2 linked regions of the Lepisosteus oculatus genome follow. The protein of the gene in region 2 interacts with the protein of the main gene of each other region in a pairwise test. Links are inferred from orthologs where the notes say so. Each region holds a gene or a part of one and is shown on either strand. Other genes may lie near its edges.

The links.
Region 1: the proteins of cdc5l (region 2) and 14-3-3 protein theta interact in a two-hybrid assay, tested with the Homo sapiens proteins (2 studies listed by BioGRID and IntAct). The link is inferred for Lepisosteus oculatus from reciprocal best matches to the Homo sapiens genes CDC5L and YWHAQ.

Annotation. Positions count from the first base shown.
Region 1 is NC_090697.1:11,938,558-11,946,641, forward strand, and holds the start of 14-3-3 protein theta, read left to right. Parts: upstream 1-4,864; 5' UTR 4,865-4,972; intron 4,973-5,825; 5' UTR 5,826-6,061; coding exon 6,062-6,355; intron 6,356-8,084. UniProt on the Homo sapiens protein: Adapter protein implicated in the regulation of a large spectrum of both general and specialized signaling pathways. Binds to a large number of partners, usually by recognition of a phosphoserine or phosphothreonine motif.
Region 2 is NC_090697.1:56,001,161-56,009,056, reverse strand, and holds the start of cdc5l (cell division cycle 5-like protein), read right to left. Parts: upstream 3,556-7,896; 5' UTR 3,421-3,555; coding exon 3,376-3,420; intron 2,670-3,375; coding exon 2,566-2,669; intron 90-2,565; coding exon 1-89. Other genes in the region: zinc finger protein 260-like, read left to right, coding at 7,810-7,849.

The sequences.
Region 1 (8,084 bases), about 44 Mb from region 2:
TGAGGAGCTATCTGTGTGGAGTTTGCACGTTCTCCCCAGATTCGTGTGGGTTTCTTCCCGGTGCTCTGATTTCCTCCCACAGTCCAAAGGCATACTGGCGGGTTAGTGGGCTTCTGGGAAAATCGGCCCTGGTGTGAGTGGGTGCGCGTCTGTGTTTGTTGCGTCAATGTGTGGATTGCTGGCCCATTCCGGGTGTGTCCTGCCTTCTGCCTGTTGCTCGCTGGGATAGGCTCCCCCGCAACCCCAGATAGGAAACAAAGCGGTCAGAAAATAGATGGACGGATGGATTAATCTTTGGTTTAGGTCACAAGGTCTGCTGTCTTTATGTGTGCAAGTGTGACTGTTGTGGTTCCGCACGGCCTCATGCCCTCTGCCACCCCATTCCGTCCTGCAACGCCTGGGGAGCGAACCCAGGGCTCCAGCATAACACAACAGGGAACCAGCCGCATGAGCTAAAGGAGACCTCCCCCAGCCCAGACGGCTGAGGTCCCCGCTACGCGCAGTGAGGGACGATGACGTCACCGTATCCGAACTAGGTCCGCTACACAAGCCTTTAGGGCCACCATGATGTTGGGTAAATAGACATTCCTTTTCTGCGCCTCTCACCTGAAGGGTGCCTTGGCCATGTTCATGTTTCAGAGCGAAGCACTACAGTTGCAAAAAGACCGGCCAAGCACATGTTGCAGGAGAGTGGGAACGGTGTGTTTTTCACCCATCCTACGGGAATGCCATTTGTTCCTCTGCCTACTAACCGGCTGCCAGGATCAGAAAATCGCCGAGATAGCTTTTTTTTTTTCCTCGCTATGTGTTCTGCAAACCAAACCCTGATCCTTTACAAACGAATCTGAAACTAAACGTGGACGCATTGATTCTTATGTCTCTGCCTTTGGTACTGCTGTGTCTGTGACACTCATATCACTGCGCTGTGGAAAGTACGTACAAAGCATTGCAGTGCTCCACTCACTTGAGGTTGCCATGGCTGCGCACTGCTATGGTAATAACTTAAGAGGAAGAGGTCTTTGTTGGTATCAGCGCTGCTCCTTTTCAGATTTTTTTAAAGACGGTCGTCTGAGTGGATGAATGCCCCTTTGCTTCGGTTTGACGGTAAAAATATAATGGCTCTCTAAAAGGGGCGACCTCTCTGAGAGCAAAATGGAAAAAAGGCCTCTCACCAGAGGGTGGCAGGAGTTCATGTTGGATCGTGGCAGCACAAATCGCCACCTCCTGGCAGCTGGCGAATCCGAACTTGAAGACTCACGAAATACGCACCCCACAACTTATTTTTATTATTTGACTGACACCTGTAGCCCACACGAACAAAGTTTATACAGCCTGGAATTTTACCTTGCTTACCTTGTGACATACTGTACCTGGCTTGAGGTTACCACACGATTGCCCCATCTAGAGTTTTTGCACCTCCAACAGCCCTAGCTGCCTACCAGCAGCCACATCACCCTGCAACTCACAACTGGCAGCCCACTGAAGCTCAGCAAGTGTGAGCCTGGTCAGTCCCTGGATGGGAGACCTCCTGGGAAAAACTAAAGTTGCTGCTGGAAGAGGTGTTAGTGGGGCCAGTAGGGGGTGCTCACCCTGTGGTCCATGTGGGTCCTAATGCCCCAGTATAGTGATGGGCACTATACTGTAAAAAAGCACCTTCCTTTGGATGAGACATAAAACTGAGGTCCTGACCCTCTGTGGTCATTAAAAATCTCAGGGTTTCTTGAAAACAGTAGGGGTATTACCCCAGTGTCCTGGCCAAATTCGCCATTGGCCTTTACCAATGACAGTCAGTTTGTGATTTTGAATTTTACCATTTCATTTTGCCACTGTCAAGAGGAGAACCTCCTGCCTCATCTAACAATAGGGAGATCAAAGGAGTTTCAGTCTTCATAACCCTCACCATGGCTGCCTATAAGACAGTTCTGACGTTTTTCTTCCTCCAAAGATGAAGAGTCTTACCAGTTAATCCACGTGGGCTAAATCATAATGAGTGTGGAAGGTTGGGAAAGTGTGCCTGCCATCTAAATCCTTTTGTCAAAATCTAGCATTTTATAAAGCACCATTTGAATCTTCCAAGATACAGAGTTTTGCATACAGAGTTCACTGAATAGGAGTCAAAGTTCTCTGTCAGGCAAAGCATTTCTAAATATGCTTATCTGTAATCAAAAGGGCCTCTGCCAGCAATATTATGAATGTAGTTTGGAAAGGGAATGCTTGGACTGATGTCAAGAGAACAGCAGCACATCTCACTGAGGTACATAGGGCTGACTGAGCCTTGCTCAGAATCATGAAGCCCCTAAAATGAACATTTTACACATCAAGCAGTGCTTACTACCAAGGAACCAGAGTTGTGATTCTTAGGAAGTTCTCTTTCTTTCTATCTCCTCTGAAGTCAGGAATAAAACTAACAGAAATGGAGGTTTATACAAGCAATACCTGCATATTAGAAAGGGGTTGGCAAACCTTTAATCATCCCTTTTTACGGTTGCCAAGAGACTTTTATTCCCATAAATCACTACAAAATGGATGTTCTGTTAAAAAAATTATGTTAGTCTTATTAAACAGAAAATCACAGTTTTCTCTACCACCTGTGCATACTGTTTGACAGGGACACTGGGGAACACAGGATGTCTTGCTGAATGGCTCACAATAAATGAAATCATAAAGCCCAATTAAACACCATTCTCATATACCAATAAAACATGAGTTATTAAGATTAATTTCATAGTGTTATTCATCTGTGTACTGTTCCTGCAGAGGAAATGGCAGCAAATCTGAAATCTGCAGCTTGGTTTCTTCAGATGTTCCTATAAGGAAGGCAATCACCATTTTGTTTTAAGCAACAAGTGCAGTGATTATTCTGGAGCTCTGTGCCTACAGACTGAGCTATCGTGACGCGTGGGTCAAGGGGAGAGCGTTTAATCAAACTGTTCTGCAATGTGATTATCAAAACCAACGGGACCTCCTGGGTCTCATTCTGAGGCTGTGCGTCACAGGCTTTTCAAACAGTTCAGTTCAACTTGTTTGCAAAAGTATTAGTTATCATACCTCCAACACGCATCTCACCCTTCCTCAGCTAAAGCTAAAGGCAGCTTTTAAATTGTAGCTTTTTGTTTAGACTACAAAATGTTTGGAGGACAATTGGATCTGTAATGGCAGCAACCTGATCTGAATCCAGCACTGTAAGAAACAGGATATTTAAAACATGCCTCATCGGTCCACTTCTTCTTACACCCCAGGTGCTCCTTTGTCGACGAGGAGTCGAAGGGCAGGTCTGGCGCACGTGAAAACAAGCTTTATCCTGTCCCCACACTGGTGTTTTGGGATTGGTCAAGATTCCTGCTCGGCCAACAGCTAGGAGTGTAATTTAGATCTCGAGCAGGGCTAATGATTAACGTCCGACTCGGAGCTGAGCACAGGTGAGGAAATATCAGATGACAGTTTTCCTTTATGGCATGGGAGGGCTCACGAGGGGGAGGGTGGGCGTCTAACAGCGTCTAATCCAGAGAGGGTGAAGCGCTGAATAAAAGTCAGTTGTGCTCAACTGCCATTGTGCTGCTGCAGGTGCCACCTTCTCCGCAGGAAAAAAAGTGCTGACGATATTCTCAGTTCGGCTGTGTCACACAATAACTCCACAGATCCTGGAACAAGCTATTAATCACACTACTGGAAATCCTCGTAGGCAGACCTTCAGACCATAGCAGAAATGCTTTAAGCCATGAGTTTTCAAACTGGGGAAGATTCTGGATCCTTGACTATTATTCTGTATAAACTGGTGGGGATGTCCCTGTAGGATTAGCACCGGAAATGACTCCCTCGGACTGGCGTAGAGTTTCTGTGAGACCAACTTTATTACAACTATAATACAAATGTATTGTTCCTATTATCTGTTATTTAGCATGATCATTTCTCACCAAACAGCTACAACGCGGCAAAGAAAATGTAAATATATTTTTGAAAGTTACCTCCTTGAGCGAAACTCCCTCAAACCACAGTGTTTATGATTAGGAAGTACTGTATTGTTTGTCACAGGACATTGGAGTCCCACCAAACTTACTGCACCCTGGTCTTGAGGCCAGATTTGGGATTTTACCTGCTACCATCCTTGTATTTCATGGAATCGTGAGAATATGACAGCTCCTTGCTTAAACGTCATTTGAAACCTACTTTCCGATAATTTAGGGTTTAAGAATTGTAATCCCAAATTTTGTATTCGAATGTCACCGGACACGTCCTCCTTAAATATCCGTCCGGAGGAAATGTTCAAATATCTTGAAACGCATCCCCCCCCGTTTTCGTTCTGAACAGGTATGCGATATAAATGATTATAGTATAAATACCACCGGCGGTCCACCCCTCTCACGTCTCCCCTCGCTCGACTGAGCGCCCTCTTATTTTGAATAAATATGGTACCGCTCATCTATTCATTCAAAGCCGGGGGAATGAAATACGCGAAGCTACAATCATAGGGGTGGGCATGGTCAGAGGGTCCACAGGGGGGCTTTTGGCTGGCTCCCCGCTTGCAAGAGATGAGTGCCGCCAGCCTCTGAGTGAGACACACTCATCCACCACGCCCGCTCCCGGGCCTCACTGATGCCGACTGTCACTACAGTAGTGCTACATTCAGCGGTGGTGGAGTAGGAGGAGGAGGAGGAGGAGGGGGGGTGCTGGATAACCATGGCAATGGTGACGTCTTCTCCCTTGCTCTAATTGGAGGAAACCCCGTGGCCCCAGCCGCAGCCTACAGGCCAGTCGAACTTGCCCATTTAAAGCCCGCCTTCTTCCGCGCGCTGCGGTGCTACTGGCGAGCATTTTTGAACTGTAACGGTCGAGCGGTGCGGGACTCACTCTCTCATTGGGGCTCGCGCTCGCCTGGCCCCGCCTCGGCTCTCGTGCTCGGTTGAGACTGGCGGCTGGGCTCCTTTCCTCTCTTCAGCCCTAAAGCGGATCAGCTCGGAGGAGCGGTACGGAGGTAAGCGGAGGTTTGGCGCTGCTTCCCTCGTATTTTAGGGGCGCAGTAAGGAGGGTTGTGCTGGGGGAAGCGACGTGAATGTGCCGTTTGTTGAAGGGCTTGCGTTTATTGAACCCGATAACCGTGTGGTATATCGGACCTGGCGTGTATGGCGGTTCGGGTTTGCCGCATCCATTTTGTCACACAAGGGGAGAAAAAAAAGACTGTCTCGGGAATTGGTTTTCGGCTCATAGGAGCCGCCATTTTATCTAAATCTGTGTTTAAACGCGGAGTTATTCGGATAACTGCCTGCGTGGTTCGTGAATGGGGTCGAAACGCTAAGGAGCAGCGGTGGCGGGGAGACCCGAGTGTCGTCTCGCTTTTTGAGCTGGGCGCTGACACAATGGCGAAATCGCCTCTTAAGACACGGGGGGAATTTCCTGGCCATTATTGCCAAATTGCCGGGGTGGGTAGCGGAGTACGATGTCGTGTCTCTCCGGGTGGTGCTCGCTGCTGCTGCTTGTTCCGAAAGCAAACCTTTGCCGAGCCCCGGGAGGGGGAGACTGACCGCCGCCCGTTTCCCTGCTCTTCAAGGGAGACGGGACCTGCGTGTGTGCGCGTTGGATACAGCCTCCCCGCCCCTGGGTCACGTTAGAAGTACTGGAGAGAGAGAGAGAGAAAAAAAAGATGGCAGGTCCTTTGGTGGTCTCTCGTCAGCCTGGAGACGTGCAGTCTCGATTCAGCCCGACGGGTTTCTTGACAACCGTACGATCGACGCGCACGGATTTGGGCTCGATGCTTGCGCGACGTGTGTGCGTGTAGCTTGCGTGCAGCTCAGCCTCAGTTGCCCACCTCTTTCCCGTTCGGCTCGCAGGCTTCCCACAGGACGTCGCCTGCACGACTGCTGTCTGCTCACCTGCTTGCCCCGCGTCCCCCCGTCCCCGGCCATCGACACCACCGACAGCGCTCAGGCTCTCCGGCGATCCCGGTTCCCCCCCCCCAGCCCGCAGCTGGTCACCCGGCCCGTCCTGAAACACTGCGCCTCGAAGAGAATATCCTGCCCTCAGCCCCACTCCCCCTCCCACACACGCACGATCGGAAGCGGACGCGATGGATAAAACGGAGCTGATCCAGAAGGCCAAGCTGGCGGAGCAGGCCGAGCGCTACGACGACATGGCCGCGTCCATGAAGGAGGTGACCGAGCAGGGGGCCGAGCTGTCCAACGAGGAGAGGAACCTGCTGTCCGTGGCCTACAAGAACGTGGTGGGTGCCCGCAGGTCCGCCTGGAGGGTCATCTCCAGCATCGAGCAGAAGACCGAGGGCAGCGACAAGAAGCTGCAGATGGTCAAGGAGTACCGGGAGAAGGTGGAGTCCGAGCTGCGGGAGATCTGCAACGATGTTCTGGTGAGACCCGCCGCCGCTGCCCGCTTTACCTTCAGATCACCTTCCCAGCTCCCAGCCGGGTCCCCGGACCCCGGGGGCCCGCTCGCAGGCGCGCCGCGGTGGGGTGAGGTCAGGTGATTATTAATAGGAATGTGTAGTGCAGCAAGAGGGGTGGGGTGAGCATGCAGTCCCGTCCTGGTTTCATTTCATTTCTCATCCGTGGCCCTGCTGGAGAAGGGCAGGGGGAGAACGCCCCCACAAGGTGGGAGTTCCCCCTGATCCTTCGGCGTGGGATGTGGAGAGAGGCTGGGGAAGACATGCAGTGGCTGGCAGGGGACCGAGGTGTTTGGTGAGGTCGTGTGTTTTGAGTAGAGCGATGCTGCCCTTAGTCCCAGTCCAGCAGAGAAGCTGCCAGTCCCGAGTTCTGGTCCCAGGGCCGTGCTGATCTGCAGCTGGGAGGCTGGGCTGTTGAGGGCGTCGTCGGCCCGTTGCAGCAGATCGCCTACCCAGGCCTCCCACAGATCAATACGTGATGCAGCAGTTTCGTTTGGCTGACCGACGCTGTGGGGATTGAGCAGCACGTTGATAGAGGAGCAGGACTGGAACGGGGCAGCAGTGAGCGAGGGCACCACTGGGTGGGCTACACAGGGGCCTGATGGCAGGTGTCCGAGCTCTGCATCCCGCTATTAGCACAGCAAGTCTTCTGGCCAAGAAATTCTATTGATGGGTCTGAGGAACTTTAAAACGGGTCAGATTTTATTTTAATTTGAATTGTTTTATGACTTGCTGTGGTGGTTTAGTTTAAAGGACGTTTTCATAGGTTAATTTTTCATATTTTTCTACCCTAGTCCCTTCAGCAGAGATTCACATCTTCAATAGAAATTACATGTGATAGGACTGTGCTTGTATTGTGAAGTGGGTGTATTGGGGTTGTTGGTATTTTAATTTGTATCCTTTGAGTTTTACTGTTGACGTATTAATTGTGCTTTAAGATTTTTTGTTAGATAATTGTAAGTATTGTACTCATCTGAATCCTCATTATATCGTCTGAAGTGTAATTCACTCCCTTTTCTTGAGCTGTACCAGGCCCTGGGTTCTACGTGTGGTATTAAAATGCACTTTTAATGCAATTAAATGGTGTTTGGTAAGCTACACTAAAATTATAGCTCAATGTTTTCAGTGGTAATATAGATTTTAAAGTGGGATAGGAAAAAAGTGGATCATACCTTAAATATCAGGGTGTGTACATCTTTCATACATGAAGGGCTTTGAAGTGTTACCTCAGGCGGGTACATTACACCGGTTTAGGATTATTATTAGGTTTGAAGTGGTAATGAACCATTTTTGTAAGGTTATATTTTTTTAATTAAAAAATTGGGAAGGGAAAAAAAAGTGCCCTTTAATGTTTAATATACAGAGTAACCGTTAAAATACATGTTGAAAACGTGGGATTTAAATTTCACATTTACATATTTGATTCATATCTCAAAACTTTATAAAGGCTAATTCTTCGTGACCTATCTAAGTTGACTACTGGCACTGTTGAGAGGTTGTGACTTTTGTGGTAAGTCTCCAGTTTTCATACTAAATGGACAGTTGAACTTTTACATTCAATGTGTATATTTAACTGGTAAATCAATACTATGTACTTACCTGATAAAAAGTAATTGATCTAATATTTAATACCCAAAGGCTCTGTGCTAAATCTACAACCAAAGAGCTGGGAGTATTTTATAATAGTTTATAAAAT
Region 2 (7,896 bases):
TGGGCATCAGCTTTGCCAAGTGAAGGAGCTTCTCCTCTTCCTCACGTGACCATTCTGTCTTCTTTATGCTTGGGTCAAGCCACTCATACCTGTTTGAGACAATATAAAGGCACCACAGTATTACCGCACAGCAAAAAACAACACAACTAACCCGGCACACTTCCACTCCCTGCCGGACATTGTTTCTGCGCTAAGTTTTTTGTTTTATTTCCATAGTCATGTTTTTGTAGCTAGAGCAAATGTTGATTAAGCCTCCAAACATGATATATTTAATGCCTAAGCAATTAATCAACAAATTCTTAACACATGGAACAATCTACTTATGATCAATTAAAAATAGGTGAGCGTATAAATTAAGCCATTAGGAGGTCCTCTGAAAAAAAGTGATCAAACCCTTCAGGCCTAAAGGACCAGAGTGCCCTTAAATGAACAAATCAATTGCTTAATTAATAAACAACATCCAAGTGTTTAAAAGAGCTAGGGATTTAGTGAAATCTATAACACTAAGTGGACTGGGACACTCCAAAACAAGGGCTAAAGACTCCAGCATTCAATAAAAGAAAAACAGTGCATGAAAATTAAGTTATAAGGGCGTTTTGCTCTCTTTCAATTAATTTTGCTGTATACCCACCCAACATGGAAATGCCAATTGTGCATTTCTCAGGTCTTGGCATAGCAACTGCACACAAGGGAGAATAAGGAGTAGCAGGCAGTTTCTTCCCTACCTTAGGATCAGAGCTGACTGCATGATCTGTTAGAGACAGCCACACAAGTCTGCATGTCCCTGGAACACCACAGGGGCTACCAAAGAACTTCCAAGAGCTCTGGGCAGCTAATCCCAACCTTACGCTTACCAGCTGTGAGTCAACTGTGCTCCATCACTTGGGAAATCCTGGTCTCAGATGGTTAATGACATCTCGATCCAAAGATACCTAGGTTTTAGAACTCAATCTGCACCTATGCAAACCCCTTTACTGGTTGAGCACCCTTAACACTGTGCTTTTGACCATTAAAGCCAATCTGGTAACGAAAACTGCCAAATATAACATTAGTGCAGCACAGAGAATGCATGAGTGTTGTTACACAAACTACTGGATGTGATAACTGATGACAGATGTTAACAGAAGCATGAGGGATGCTCTTTTACGTATTATAGTTTTGCATGCTTACACATTTATGAAGCTTTATCTTAAATAACAGCCATTTTCTAAGTGTTGCTTCCAATTCAGGGTTACAGGGGAGCCAGAGCCTATCCCAACAAGGAACGGGTGAAAAGGTAGGGTAAATTTTGGATGGCACGCCAGTCCAACACAGGCCGGACAGACAAAAAAATAGACATGTACCCATGCACGTACACCAGGACTAATATTCCTAAGTTCACCTACTAGTATGTTTTTAGATTGTGGGAGCAAACTGGAGCAACCGGAGGCAACCCACAAGAACAGGGAGTTAACATAAAAAGCCCATGTAGATATCACTCCAGGTCTGGAATAGACCCCAGGGCCCCCAGAACTGCAAGGCAGCAATGCTAACCTCTGGGCCACTATACTGTTCTATTTTAGATAACATATTTTCTAAAAACATTTAAATGATTACATGCGAACGTTTGAAAACATATTTAAAAGTTTCCGCAGGAGGACAACCAAATTGATTAAAATGTGAGGCAGAGTGGTCTCAAGACTGTTCCAATTCCAGCAGATGAGAAGATGATCAGGACACCTGGTGTCAGCGAAGTGGTGTCAGGGCTAGTGACACATTCTATGACATGCTAAAGGGCGTTGTCAAATGGCTTGCTGCTGTTCGTTTTTTAATCAGAACGTTAGTATTGCTATACTAGAGAAGGAAAAGCACTAGAGGTACTCCAAGTTCCTGGTCATCGTGCTACTAACTGGTATGATTAGCTCAGCATTGCCAATCATTAGTTTTTCACTGCAATGGGCATGGAAGCCAGAGTTCCTAGAGTAAAACCATGTGAACACAGGTAGCATTCAAAACATGCTCACATAATGTGCCCTAATACAAAATCCAACCCAGAACCTTAAGGCTAAGCCTCAGCTGTGTTAAGTGCTAACTGCAGTGCTAGGTTAGCTAAGCTAAATGCTAACTGCTACACCACCCTGCCTCCAATTTGGCAGTGCTCCTCCACAGATGCAGATGTCTGCAGGCCACCGAAACTGACCTTCACAACACTAAAGGGTGCACAAGTAGAACAAGCATTTAGCTGAAATTACATAAAAATAGCTTTTTTTAAAATAATGTGCCTATAAGACCTCACACCCGCAGAAGGCTACAGAAGCCAAAAACATTGTGTTTCCTTTCTTTCTTTTCAGCATGGAATAAACCTTTAACTTGTTCCTTTAAGACCTTTTAGAAGTGTTTTTTTGGAATTCTTACAGACGACACCTACCATCGCAAGTGGGAAAAAGCTATTACAACCTACTGTACTCTTACAGCAAAGCATTCGATATTAAAAAACCCTGAGTGAATCAAACAAGAATACGTTGGTGTTAGAATCAAAGATTTAACCCTACAGTGCTACTCCAGCTCATGAAAGCCTGTACTCACCATCGGGCTTTGCATTGTTTTGCAGACTTTCTGTGCAACAGTGAGGCAATCCGAGACCATTGGTTTTTGCCATATTTCATAACCGCTGCTTTAAGGATTTCATCCTAAAATTAAAGGAACAGGATGCATTTTTAGGCTCATTTCTTTACGAGATAATATACGTAAGACAAATTTAAGCTTGACACTACTGGCAAATGTTATACCTGATGTACAAAAACAAAAAAGAACTGTTAATATTAGCTGTTTTTTTTCTCCAAATGGTTAAACAAATTAAATGTTTTAACAAATCGGAAATGATTAAAGTAGCTAACAGAAAACTCGTGGTCAGCAGTAGATCAAACAACATTTCATCAGCATGTTTTAGTTAACTTACGTTGCTGTTATCGTACAGTACTATAACGTGGCTAGGTCTCCGCTAGAACCAACATCATCATAGTATTTTTACTATGTTTTCTCAACACAATTGCAGTTTATTGGATACCCTTACAACACACTTAATTTAAGATATAAAGAAATAAATCAAACGTTTTGGAATTACATAACATGCCACAATTCAACGAAAAGCACAAAATAGGTAAAGCTGACATAGTTGCACATCACTGAACTTAGGCCATGAATTTTGCGAGCAAAAGGTAAGTATTGGCAGTAGCTAGATGCAACTCATGAAACATGATCAAATCACAGGCAAACAGGAAAATCATTCTAATTTATGTTATCCCGATAGAAGAATAAAAATTACACATAACTACAATCTGTACTTCAATGTTTTCATTTGCCATGCCAAGCTATAAAATAAGGCCGTTACATTACCTCGGTATTTCGCCACACACCACCTTTGATCATAATACGCGGCATGTTTAAAGTTAAATGTTAATATTTCAAGCTCCTGGAAAGAAAAATAAAATAAAACAAAAATAAAAGATTCAAAGATATACTATCCACAGAACGATCGTGCTGCACAGTTTCAATATGGCTCCTCAAGATAATGCGCCTCACCATGGTAATCTCAAGAAAAGACAATAGCTACAGCTCCCCTTCTGGACTGGATGTATTAAAACAGCCTTCTAAAGTTGCAGTGTAGAGCACCCGGTAAAATTAACAGTAAATGCGCTAAGTAGTATGCATTCTCTTTTAATTCTGTTTTAATGTAGCTTCAGTTATGATAATTTGGGAGATGAAAAAGTATCCCAAGAACGTAACCTCTTAGCGTAACTGCTAGCATACACATCTCATAAAAGTGCTGAAATTAATTCAGATGATTCGAAATGATATAATTTTGCTGACATCTCATGTAGAGGAGAAATATAAAAATGTATACCTTAACGTTATTTTTGGAGATATGTGGTACAAGACGCATATTATAATATATTAGAATATGTGAGAAAATTATTTCCCGTGTATAAATTAATATTTTTACCTTTTTATAAGAGGGGAGCGTGGGTCCAGTTCCAGACATGGGGTGCCATCTGCGTGACGTTTATATGTGATTCCAGTGTTTGTGCAAGTTTCTGCTGGGTGCTCCAGTTTCCTCTCACAGTCTAAAGACACAGTGGTAGGTTAATTGACTTCTGGGAAAACTTCTGGGATGCATCACATCCAGGGTGTACTCCCACCTTGCGCCCATTGCATACCGGCATTGTCTCTGTCTCCACCGCCCCCTGAATTAGACAAAGTGATTAGAAATTCAGTGGATTGATTTTATAAACTGACATATTTCATGTGCACTTGAATCCTTTACCACAAGTAACAGAGTTTTCCAAAATACCGGAGAGAATAAAAAGCTGGAGAAAAAGGAAACAAGTCCTCTTCCAGATGAGGTTACTGTTTAGAATAAAATGTCAAATAATCCTTCTACAAGATTTATCTAAATGAAAAAGAGAAACAGAAAGGGAAAAACTATATACAGTACTAGAGTACAGTATAATGAATGCCCCTTGGAGATACAATGCTTTCTCAAAGCCTTAAGGATGAAATATTTTCTGCCATACCTCAGTGCCAGATCAATGCCCCAGCAAGTGCAAGGTGATATCTGAAATAAAGCTAACTGCTGTTGTCACCTAACAGTAAGAAATCAAGTTTTATTATAAAATAACATATTCCATTATGGTATGTCTGCCCAATTTCCATTCAGTTTGGGCTTTGGAATGTTATTTACAATTATCTGTGAGACCATGTGCATGTTTTTAACAAATCTAATTACAACACAAAGTTCAATGGTTCATCCATCACAAACAGGCAGTCAGATCCAGGGCATCTGATAATCAGATATAAGACATATAATAAGTGCTATAATATAAAATACACATAAAATAATTCCGGTGGGTAGCTGCGTCAGCATGCGTAGGCTGCAAAGGAACAAGTAATAGGTTTATTCCATGCTGAAAAAAAGAAGAAAGAGAACACAACGTTTCGGCCGTGGAGTATAAAACATATAAAATAGTTACAGTACATGTTTTAACTATTATGTTGCAAGATTATCGTGTCTTGCAGAAATATTGATCAAAACCTTCTAATATGAAATTTGATTAATTAAAAAAGTATAGGTATGTGACTTTTTATAAATGAACTTACAGTAGAATTCCTGTCATATAAAACATATAAAATAGTTACAGTACATGTTTTAACTATTATGTGCAAGATTATCGTGTCTTGCAGAAATATTGATCAAAACCTTCTAACATGAAATTTTGATTAATTAAAAAAGTATAGGTATGTGACTTTTTATAAATGAACTTACAGTAATTTGCAGTATGATCTAAGTAGTATCTGGGTGGTATGATGCACACTATACTTCTTAATGTTGGAATTCACTGAACTAAAAGCGATAAGTAACCTTCTTCTAGTCTGTGACTCTCCATCATTTTATCTCTTTGGTCTTTTTTCTCAATTGCTTATATCACTACGAGACACATGACATTAAATTCAATATCCACCTAAGGGGACTTGCAGAAACAAAGATATTTACTCCAAAGTCATGTTAAACCTCTTTGATTATGCATAGACAGAGAATATTACACCATTTTTGAGACCTATCAAATATATTTATTTTCACCTGAAAAATCTTCACATGAAAAAGCTTCAGCAACTTTAGAGTTGCAGTTGAAAAGAGGATGAATACTTAAGCAATTGAGAATCTACTGACTGTCTTCAGAATCTACATATCATCAGCATTTTTTTAGATCTCTCAGTTTGGAGCAGATTATAAATATAAACTCCAATTTGAAAGTGTCATGATTGCAAGCTCAGAAAAAGTGGGAATTTTACTGAGGGTTAATTCTTTTACAAGACACTGTATAGACAGTGGGAAAGGGAAAGACCTATATGAAGTATATATAGTGAGGTAATTGTCCTTATAATGGCAGTGTGATGGTTACTGCTGGTGCTTCACTGCTCTAGGTATCCTGTCTTTAATTCTAGGCTAGGGTGTGTTCTGTGTGGAGTTTGCATGTTCTCAACCTGTTCTTGGGTCCCTTGTTTCCACCCTCTGTGGCCTGCAGACCATTTCTATGAGAAAGAGCTTTTTTTCTCAATAACTTCTAGTACTGTGACTATCTCAATGTAGTATGGATAAGGTTCAGGTGAATTATAGTGGCAATACTTTGCATGAGTACATTACTGAAACATCCGTATATCCGTATCCGTAACATAGTATTTTAGTGTTCCACCTTTTTTCCACACATTAATATTTGCTTAACTTTAGAATGACTTTGCCTATCTAGTATGTAACCCACTGGAAAAATGAATCGAAGGACATTTACATTCCCAGACTAGGTGGCAGTAGCACGGGGAGTGAAACGCCAACCATGGTTGGCTAAGCAGCTCTTCCGCTCTGTTAGCAGCCGCGACAGGTATCGCGCCGATTCTGCGCAGACGTGAACTCTGAGGGATGTGAGGAAGTGTGAGTGTAGTTAGCTTTACTTCAATTTACTCACAGTTGTATCGATTCATATTTGATATCTTCCCCTCGCAACAACTTGGAAGAATTCTGAGCAGTTAAGGCTTGTGGTAAAAAAAATAATTTAATAAATATGCAGCATTCGTTTTATAATTTAGCATGCCCACGTGAAGTACTGTAGGGTTGTAAGACTTAGTAGCCTGAATTTAAAAGGTAGGTAGTTAAGTCGGTGTTTCTGACTCAAATGTATTTTTTTTCTGTGCAACGAATCGTGTTAAAAAAGGTTTTGAAGAAAAAATAAGTTTCTCTTGTTCATTTTGTGATTTAATGTTTACTCCATAGTTGTATTCAAATGAGTAGATCCAGTTAAAGGCGTTGAAATATTAAATACGTTAGTTTGTTTTTATCTTATCGCTACAGTATGTATATGATTTTGTAGACTACTCTGCAGTGAAAGCGAAATGAACCCGTCTTTTCTGGTGCAGGAGTGGAGAGTTATGCGTTACCCCGGTGAACAGAGATTTGTTGTTCCTCTGGATTTCCTTCGTATCTAAAAGAAACAAAAGTAAGATGGAATAGCACAACTGTGAAGCATGCTATATATTGTATTTGTTTGCGCAGGGTGATGTCATGCACCGTTTTTATGCACAAAAGCATCTCAGTGGTATGTGTCTTACCATGCTTTGTTGCTGCTGTTATTTAATCTACATCGTATACTCGATATTTCGTTCCACTGTATACTTGTATATGGCTGGTATGACAAATAAACGTGAACTTGATACTGTATGTAGAGTAAGCGAGGGACTACGGAAGAAATCATAATTATAGATTGTGTAGTTTCATTGATAATCAATTTATACAGTTAATTTAGGGTAGAGCTCAAAATAAAAAAAATAAAAAATAAAAGCTCAACATTTATTGGTATCAGTTGTGTTACTGCAGGAAACGTGTTTATACAGAGTATGTATGGTTTGAAAAATATTGCCAAAGCCTCAGCTACTCATTCACTTTTAAGTGCCTACAAACTGCAAAAGAAAGCATACAGGTACAATTCACAATCTAAACAATGCAAGTTCACAGCACCAGTGTTTCGTGAATAAATTATACAACCACATTAAAACATTGTCAGACAGCTATTTTACCATTTAACTACTAATTTGCATTAGATACATTTACAAGAATATTAATTTTTAGTTGTGCGTAGCTGTTTAGTATGTTTACAGCTAAGTTTTAAGTTTAAACAATACACCTGATGGGAGTGTTTTGTCTTTTTTTAGGAATGTAAGACAGTGGCTGGATAAGTATGAATGCCATTCCAGATATACATTTCATGAAAGTTTGGAGTGAAGATGGACAGTGAACAGAAAGGCAATGTCCAGCTCTTCACTGGTAAGTCTGTAGAAGTAAAGACCTTTTATTGAGCAGTGGGCAGTGCT